Tribolium castaneum: one gene and its partner. The protein of the gene in region 1 binds, or shares a complex with, the protein of each later gene. Links are inferred from orthologs where the notes say so. Each region holds a gene or a part of one and is shown in the gene's direction. Other genes may lie near its edges.

The links.
Region 2: eIF3j (region 1) and eIF3l share a complex: the UniProt entries of both Drosophila melanogaster proteins name them as parts of the eukaryotic translation initiation factor 3 (eIF-3) complex. The link is inferred for Tribolium castaneum from reciprocal best matches to the Drosophila melanogaster genes eIF3j and eIF3l.

The regions. Positions count from the first base shown.
Region 1 is NC_087396.1:21,287,080-21,290,607, reverse strand, and holds eIF3j (eukaryotic translation initiation factor 3 subunit J), read left to right. Parts: upstream 1-1,509; 5' UTR 1,510-1,824; coding exon 1,825-1,837; intron 1,838-1,897; coding exon 1,898-1,983; intron 1,984-2,028; coding exon 2,029-2,136; intron 2,137-2,182; coding exon 2,183-2,480; intron 2,481-2,532; coding exon 2,533-2,669; intron 2,670-2,713; coding exon 2,714-2,764; 3' UTR 2,765-3,008; downstream 3,009-3,528. Other genes in the region: Srp54 (probable splicing factor, arginine/serine-rich 7), read right to left, coding at 1-1,249. UniProt on the Drosophila melanogaster protein: Component of the eukaryotic translation initiation factor 3 (eIF-3) complex, which is involved in protein synthesis of a specialized repertoire of mRNAs and, together with other initiation factors, stimulates binding of mRNA and methionyl-tRNAi to the 40S ribosome.
Region 2 is NC_087394.1:32,526,384-32,530,651, reverse strand, and holds the start of eIF3l (eukaryotic translation initiation factor 3 subunit L), read left to right. Parts: upstream 1-1,252; 5' UTR 1,253-1,336; coding exon 1,337-1,375; intron 1,376-1,512; coding exon of another isoform or gene 1,513-1,540; exon of another isoform or gene 1,541-1,595; coding exon 1,596-1,859; intron 1,860-1,986; coding exon of another isoform or gene 1,987-2,116; exon of another isoform or gene 2,117-2,371; intron 2,372-4,268. Other genes in the region: iPLA2-VIA (85/88 kDa calcium-independent phospholipase A2), read right to left, coding at 201-503, 553-643, 690-894, 1,987-2,116. UniProt on the Drosophila melanogaster protein: Component of the eukaryotic translation initiation factor 3 (eIF-3) complex, which is involved in protein synthesis of a specialized repertoire of mRNAs and, together with other initiation factors, stimulates binding of mRNA and methionyl-tRNAi to the 40S ribosome.

The DNA.
Region 1 (3,528 bases):
CCTTCTTTTCCCCACCCTCTATACTACTCTCCTTCTTATCTTTCTCTTTCTTATCCCTTTCCTTCGACTTCCTATCCCTCTCCTTTGACTTGCGATCCTTATCCCGTTTCCTATCTTTCGACCTATCCCGAGTCTTAGATTTGGCCCTTGGCCTACTGCGACCCTTCGATTTCGACCTTGACCGGCGTTCGCGCGACCTTGAACGCCTCGTACGTGAAACCGAACGTTTCCGAGAGCGAGACTTCGAGCGTTTACGCCGGTCACGTGATCGTGAACGGCGTGAACGTGACGTTGAACGGCGACGACGTGAACGTGAACCACGCGAGAGTGACCTTGAGCGTGAGCGGCGTCTACGCCCTCTAGATCTTGAGCGGGAACGTCGCGAGCTCCTTTTATCTTTAGTTAGCATTCCGATAACTGGCTCAATCGAGGCATTGATCATGTTTTGAGCCTCTTTAAAGCGAGACATTGCTTCTTCAATTTCCTTCTGAGCGGCTTCGTTACTTTTGGCTTGGGGCTTCATGATTGGTTGAGTGGCGTGAATGATTTCCAGCGGCTTGCCTTTGAACTCTTCACCGTTCATTTTCATGGCGTTCACGACGCTTGGCTGTTCCGTGAATTCGATCAAAATGTGCGTGGTGTTGTCGTTGGGGCACTCACACACTCTCAAATACTTCACTTCACCGGCTTGTGAAAAATACTGGATTATCTCATCTGTGGGTATGGCGGGGTCAATATTGACCACTTGGACCGTTCGACGAGTCTCCTCGACTTTGATCGAGTCGTATTTGGCCGGCAAAGGGGGATAGGGGGCGCAGCCATTGTCAGTCAAATGGGGGTCATTTGTGACAACAACGCGTTCCTCGCCTGTGCCTTGGAACGAATTGGAGACATGTGGGGGCAACTTTGGCTCGTTTACGTTAAACCCGGGGACAATGGTCCCGTTACGGGTCATCTCCAGAGCGTAGTACTCGTCGGGGATGTCCCCGTTGATCACAGGGATGACAATTAGGGCCCGGTCGATGAAAACAGTGTTTGTCATGTGTTGGGCTACACCTACCGTGCTGGAATCCACGAATTTAACGTAACAAATCCGGGACTGGACAGGACAGGAGACGTCTCGAATCGTGGGGTACAGGCGAATGTCTTCGATTTTACCCAAGTAGCCGAACAGCGTCTGCATCTGGTCCTTGGTGGCCTGGGGGGCTATGTTGGTCACCTGGACCACCTTAGTGTTACCCACGACCATTTTCACGCACTATTTTAACATTTTCCAACGAGTTTAAAAAACGTAAAACGACGCACATTGACAAGTCAAATGACAGCAAGTGTCGCCAACTATTGTTCAATGATGAAAAACGCGGTGAAAAAGCAATTTATGGCCAATCGTCCTAATTAAAACTTTTTATGACTGTCCCAAAAGGATAATTTCAAATTATTTAAAATCTTTGGCGTTAAATAGCCTGTAAAACTTGCACTTTGGTTGTAATTTGGTGCCTTAATTGTGTGCCGGTTGGCAGGCGTAGTTGGTTTCTGTCAAGGGTGAGATGGGTGTTCGAGGGCTATTTTCGCTCGTGAATTGTTCAACTTCGCCTGATTTCGCTGACTTTTCATCTTGCAAGAGACATAAAAAGCCGAAACGTATTGTTTGATACATCTACAAATCGGTGTACTTGTGGAAGCTTCGAGAAAAGATAGTGTTTGGTTTGGTGACACTTTGACAGTGTCATCTGGCGGTTTCTGGTGCAGTTGCACGTTATTCAGCACACGTGAATTTCGAGGTTGAGGTCGTTTTGTGCTAATTTCGGCCGTATTTTCGCCAATATGGAATCGTGGGGTAAAAATTTAGTCAATTCTTTCACTACTTGAGCGAAAATTTGACATGGGGCTGTTTCAGACGACGATAACTTCGAACCTCCATCTGTTACACCTGTGGTTGCGTCCAACAAATGGGAAGGCGAGGACGAAGACGACAACGTCAAGGTAAAATGAGTGAATTCCTGCCAAAAATTTACCATTTTCCTGCAGGAAAGCTGGGAGGATGAGGAGGAGGAGAAGGTGGAAGCGGCGCCTGCCGAGGAGGCCAAACCCAAGCCCAAGAAGCAGTCAATCGCTGACAAAATCGCAGAGAAAGAAGTGGGTATCGCAATAGTTGTGACAAATCTAATTTCTCCTTATTCAGAGAAAGAGGAAGGAAGAAATGGAGCGGAGGCTGAGGGAGCAACAGGAGGAGGAAATCTCCCCGGAGGAGAAGCTCAGGATGCAGAAGGAATCGGACTTGAAAATAGCGCTAGAAACGACGTTTGGGGGCGACACCAATAGCACAAACATTTCAGGTTTAGACGGACTCACGCTGCCAACTACTAAAGAAGAGTTTCAGGACTTTACAGACGCTCTCTCTAAGAAGCTCCAACCTCTAGCTAAAAGCACAGAGTATCCGGTGTTCACCGAAAACTTACTACGAAATCTGTGTGCCACTTGTACGTCTCTCGTTTTAATTTAAAACAGCGTTAATGATGAATGTTCTTGCAGTGTCCTCATTAGATATTAAGAAAATTAAAAATACGTTAGATAATTTATACCTAGAGAAACAAAAAATCGAGAAAGGCGAGAAATCGAAGAAAAACAAAGGCAAAGGCAAGGCTAAATTACGACTGGATGATGGAAATGTAAGTTGTGGTTTTACAAGTGTTTGGGTTAATTTTTTTTGCAGCCTTTGTCAGCGTATGTTAACGACTATGACGATTACGACGACTTTATGTAGCAGATTGCAGCGGTTTAGATAGGGTTTTAATTTTTAAATAAATATCTTCGATAAATATAAATATTGTTAAATTATACGGTATTTTTAAAAAGGTGTAGTGTAATGATCATGCAATATGGTTAATAATTTTTACTTTTTTTTCACCGTTTTGTGTTTTTCTATACTAATGTAACGAGTCATTATTAATTAATGAGTTGCTGGTTTTTGTTGCTACTGATATAGAAGTTGTATTTTAAGGCGATTATTGTATGGATTTGCATACAAGTTGTATTCAATGGATTTGATGCAATTATTGTTAATATCAATATAATTTTTCAAAAAAATGATTGCGTTTTATTTAAAAAAGAATCAAGTGTCTTAGACACAGAGTTGCCACACGCACGCAATTTAAATCCCGTCTACGCCGTTCTGACGTGTAATTATTACACATTTATGCTGAAATTTATTATAGAACAAGTGGACCCCGCTTCTATAAACTTTTTGAGACCATAATCTATTTTAATGTTGAATATTTAAGTACCGTTGTTGGTATTCCTGTCCGAGTTTCATCACAATATTTGTTGTAAAAATGGCAAAATTGGTGCTTACCTCCACGATGACACTATGTAAACACTGATTCATTAGACTTTTCCCGATTTTAAACACTTTTTAAAACTAAACACAAACACCATGTTAACTTTTTTGTCATAAAAAGCAAGCGTCTTTAGACTCAGGGCTGCCACCATGCCACACACACTTGATTAGAATCCCGCCTTTGTAATTAC
Region 2 (4,268 bases), on another chromosome or scaffold:
GTTCAATGGAATTTTTCTATACTCTAGTGTAATATTTGATATTTTCCACATAACACAAACGAAACAATGCTCAATGGAAATGACCAAGGCCTTTACAAATGTTAAACTAAAAAAAGGTATTTAAAATCGTCAGAAAAAAATCTTTAGAATTCCTTATGTACAACTTTTCCGTATCTAATTTTGCACAATTCAATACTTACGGCAATGATATCTTTGGTGGTGCTAGCGGCGTAATGGAACACCGAATCAGAGTTGTAATCGAGATGTTCCAAAGACGCATTCGCAGCAACCAAAACTTGCACCGTCTTCAAATTCTTCGTGGTAATAGCAACTTGTAGTGGCGAGATCCCAGTTTCATCATCAGTACTATTCAAATAATTGTTAATCTTAGAGTCTTTAAAAGAATCATAGAGACTAAAATACGCCGCCAAATGGGCCAAGTTCCAAGAGGGGTGTTCCGCAAGAACGTCACAAATCTTTTGCAAACCTTGCACATTATACATCTGAAATAAAATTCCAAATAATCGTCTTTTAACAACTACAGCAAATTACTTCTTTCGAAATCTCAACAAACGTGGGTAACTTATCCTTCAAGACACAAAATTTCACTTCAGCTTCGTCAAGATTTGGCGAGCGGTATAAACTAAAAATTGATTTTTTTAACAGTTGACGTGTTCGGGGGCACAAACCTGTAGGTTTGGTGTAGGCTTTCCGTGTACGGGCGATGGAGCACAATTTCGTAAGTGGCCCCTTTTTTCTTGTCAACTGTATTAGCTGGGAGGTAGAGGACCAATCCATCTTCCCGTAGGTGAATCGCTCGGTCGGAAAAAGCGTCTGATTTGGCGTCAATCACTTTGGTTGGGGCGGGTTCTGAACTGAGGAAGCTACGTAAAACTGCAAAATGAAGAATAATATTTGTACCATCACAAAGCAGGGGATTACCACTTGTAAATCCTTGGGCAAACATTTTATTACTTAATATCTATTCATACGGTTACGAACACTAATCACTCACTGAGATTGACTACCGATCATTGTGTTTTATTTAAGAAATTTGTGATTTCATAGTTCAAGGTTTGTTCGAACGAGCAATTGGGGAATGAGGTTAAATCACCGGCTCAGTAAATTTGCATTTAGATTAACATCATGTTTATTGATCGTTTTATTTTAAAACATTTTTCTCACTTACTCAGCGGAAATACTTTTGAAAATGAGAAAAAAATGGAATTTCTTGCACCACCTCGAGTAGAAACCTGTAATTTGTAATTGTCAAACGTCAACTGGCTTCGAGGTTAAGTGCAAGACCATTTGCTCGCTATAGTGGCGTAGGCATATAATGAGTAAATTCAAAATGTTTTCCGACGATTATGAGCAAGTGAGTGCTTCAAACACCTAAAACTTGAACAATTTATCCTTAAACCTACACTGGGTTCTATAAAACTCTAGTAAAAGCTTTGCAAATTGAACCATGTGTCTCAAGCCTATTTGTAAAAGTGTGGAAATAATACCGACCTACATGTTTAGCATGCACCATTCCCATAATTCGTGGCAGCAAAATTGACAATAAATTGGACACTGATTTTCATTTATTTCAGGGTTATGAATACAACAGCTATGATGAGTATGGGGCTCACACAGGAGACCCCAACTTGGACAACGAGTACAATAAACAGCACCTAAAGATGCCGGAAATAGTCAAAAACTTCCTAATCTATTTCCGCAATTGCGTGAATGAGGGTTTAATCTTTGAGTTGCAAACTTTGTATGAAACTTCGTGGCCAAAACTAACCGAAGATTATTTCGAGAAACGCCCCTGGCCAGAAGAGTCAGAAGTGTCAGCGCTAGTCGACAGTGATCCCGTGAGTAAATCCATGACTATTTTACCTTCCGCCTCGATTTTGTCTTTCACTTGGTCTAGTATTTTACCCCCAGTTTCACTCTCCTGGACATCCTTAATTTTTTCCTTTACGTGATCAATTATTTTACCTTCTGTGCCAATGTCTTGGACGTCCTTGATTTTCTCCCTAACGTGTTCACTTTTGTCTTTGAGTTCTTCAGAGATTTTCTCTTTGAGCTCTTCTTTTTTGCTCAGGAGTTGCCTTTTGTAATGCTCCATTGCGACTGTTGGAAGCAGTAGCAGGGAAAAATGAACATAAATGGGTTTTATTATGTCTTTAGCAAAAGGACACGTCAGAAGCGACCTAATTACAAAGAAATCGCTCAATATCTATGATTCTTTGATGTCTATTGATTGTAAAGTTTTTGCTTAAATATTTATTTACGCAGCATGGGCGAAAAAAATTGGTTTAAAATAATAATAAATACGACTTTTGGTTTTGGACTTTAATAATGCGATGAATAATATTAAAATAAATAAAAATAAATAAATAAAATAAAAATAGATTTAACGACAAAAAATAAACTTTGAATAAGGTGCTTACAAGGTCATATCTTTTCTAATACTATACAGTTTCGACGAAATTCTAAATTTCATTTCATTTAAAGGTAATCGATTTCAAAATAAATAAAACAGCTTTTTCCTACATTTTTTTGAATTAGGAGTATACCAAAGTCAATAATAGACAAATACATTTCCAATAATATTTTTTCTCGAGGCTTGAGACTTCTTGAAATAAATCATAAAATTTGCTTATTAAACGAATTTTTGTTCTATAAATAAGTAAAACGCTTAACCAAGTAAATTGCATAAACAAAAAAAATTATGTTATAATCAACTGAATTAACAGAACTGTCTTCACAATTTACTAAAGAATTAACTTTGAGTATTTACCAACGAAAATTTGAATACAAAGTCTTAATTAGGCCCAAAAAAATCGTGAGAATCTTCAAAGTAGATTATTTGTTGTCCTTAAAAACTCATGATAAGATAAATAAATTGAGATCTCAACGGGAAAACTATTCAACTGTTCGTCTCTCTTTTGAAAAATAAAATATGCTTTTAAAAATATAAGAAAATCAGTGATAAATCGTAATAAATAGACGGTACCTCAAGCATTTTCCTAAAAACAATGTTTAAATTAAACCTAGGTACAGAATTTTGTTGCATAAATAAGTAAAATCGTTAATCAGTCATTTAGTTAACAAAAAAAAAAACATGTAATGAACTAAATTAACCAGGAACTACCTCCACAATCTACTAATCATATTTCTGTCAACTTCTATTTTCAAATGGCCTATCTTTTTCAAAAAGATAGTAATATTTAAAGTGATGAAATTAATTGAAATGAAAATCGTTATAAGTAATTGATTACCGACTGGACGCGTATTCGCCTAATAAAAATTGAGTTTAAAATAAGTATAAAAATCTGTGAATATTTTCGAAAGAACAAAAATATTTACTCATAATAGAAATATTATGAATGATTTTTTTACGGATTCAGGTAATACTGAGGGAGTGTATACCAAATACAGCGTGCTCAAAAACTGGCGCACCAACTCAGTGGTGTGTGGTAGAGAACTGGTTACATATAAAGGTAAAAATAGTAAAAAAAATCTTTGTATTACTGTTATTGATAAATAACTAATTTTAGGTAAATGATATGTGGCAACGTTGTCTAACAGTCATGATTGCAATAGAATTTGAGCAACAATAAAAATAAATTATTTTTGAAACGGTTTCCTAGGAAATAATTCCCAGTGTTGGCACATCTACACATTGTGATTTTTTGGATGAGTTTTAATTTTTTTTAATTAAAAAAACTGCTAAAATCTGATAGTAAATTTTAAAATAATTATTCATTGTATTGTTACGGAACGATAACCTGGTATGAAACATAGAAATATAAAAAAATAATGAAAACTAAAGAAGTTAACACAATAAGTTTGTAGCTCCAGATTTTTTAAAATATAACTTTAGAAATTTATTCAACATTTTTCCCGTAATCTGCACTTGCTTCTCAATAACGTACCACTGAGTTGGTGCGCCAGTTTTTGAGCACCCTGTATATAAAAAGTAGTGAGATTACGGACGGGACACAAAAATTTATCTTACGTAACAATTTTATTATAACATGAAAACTTTAACCAAAATAAAAAAACAACTAACAGTCATCAAAAAAAGGAACACCATTCTTGGGAAATTAAATTACGTACGTTTAACAATTAATATTTTGTCCCAAACCTATATATAATTTTTGAATTGTATTTCAGTTATTTGACACTATTTATAGGAACATAACTTCCAATTTGAAAACGCTTGATTTTGTTCACGTATAGAATTCTCTACCATTATTAATTATTAATTTTTT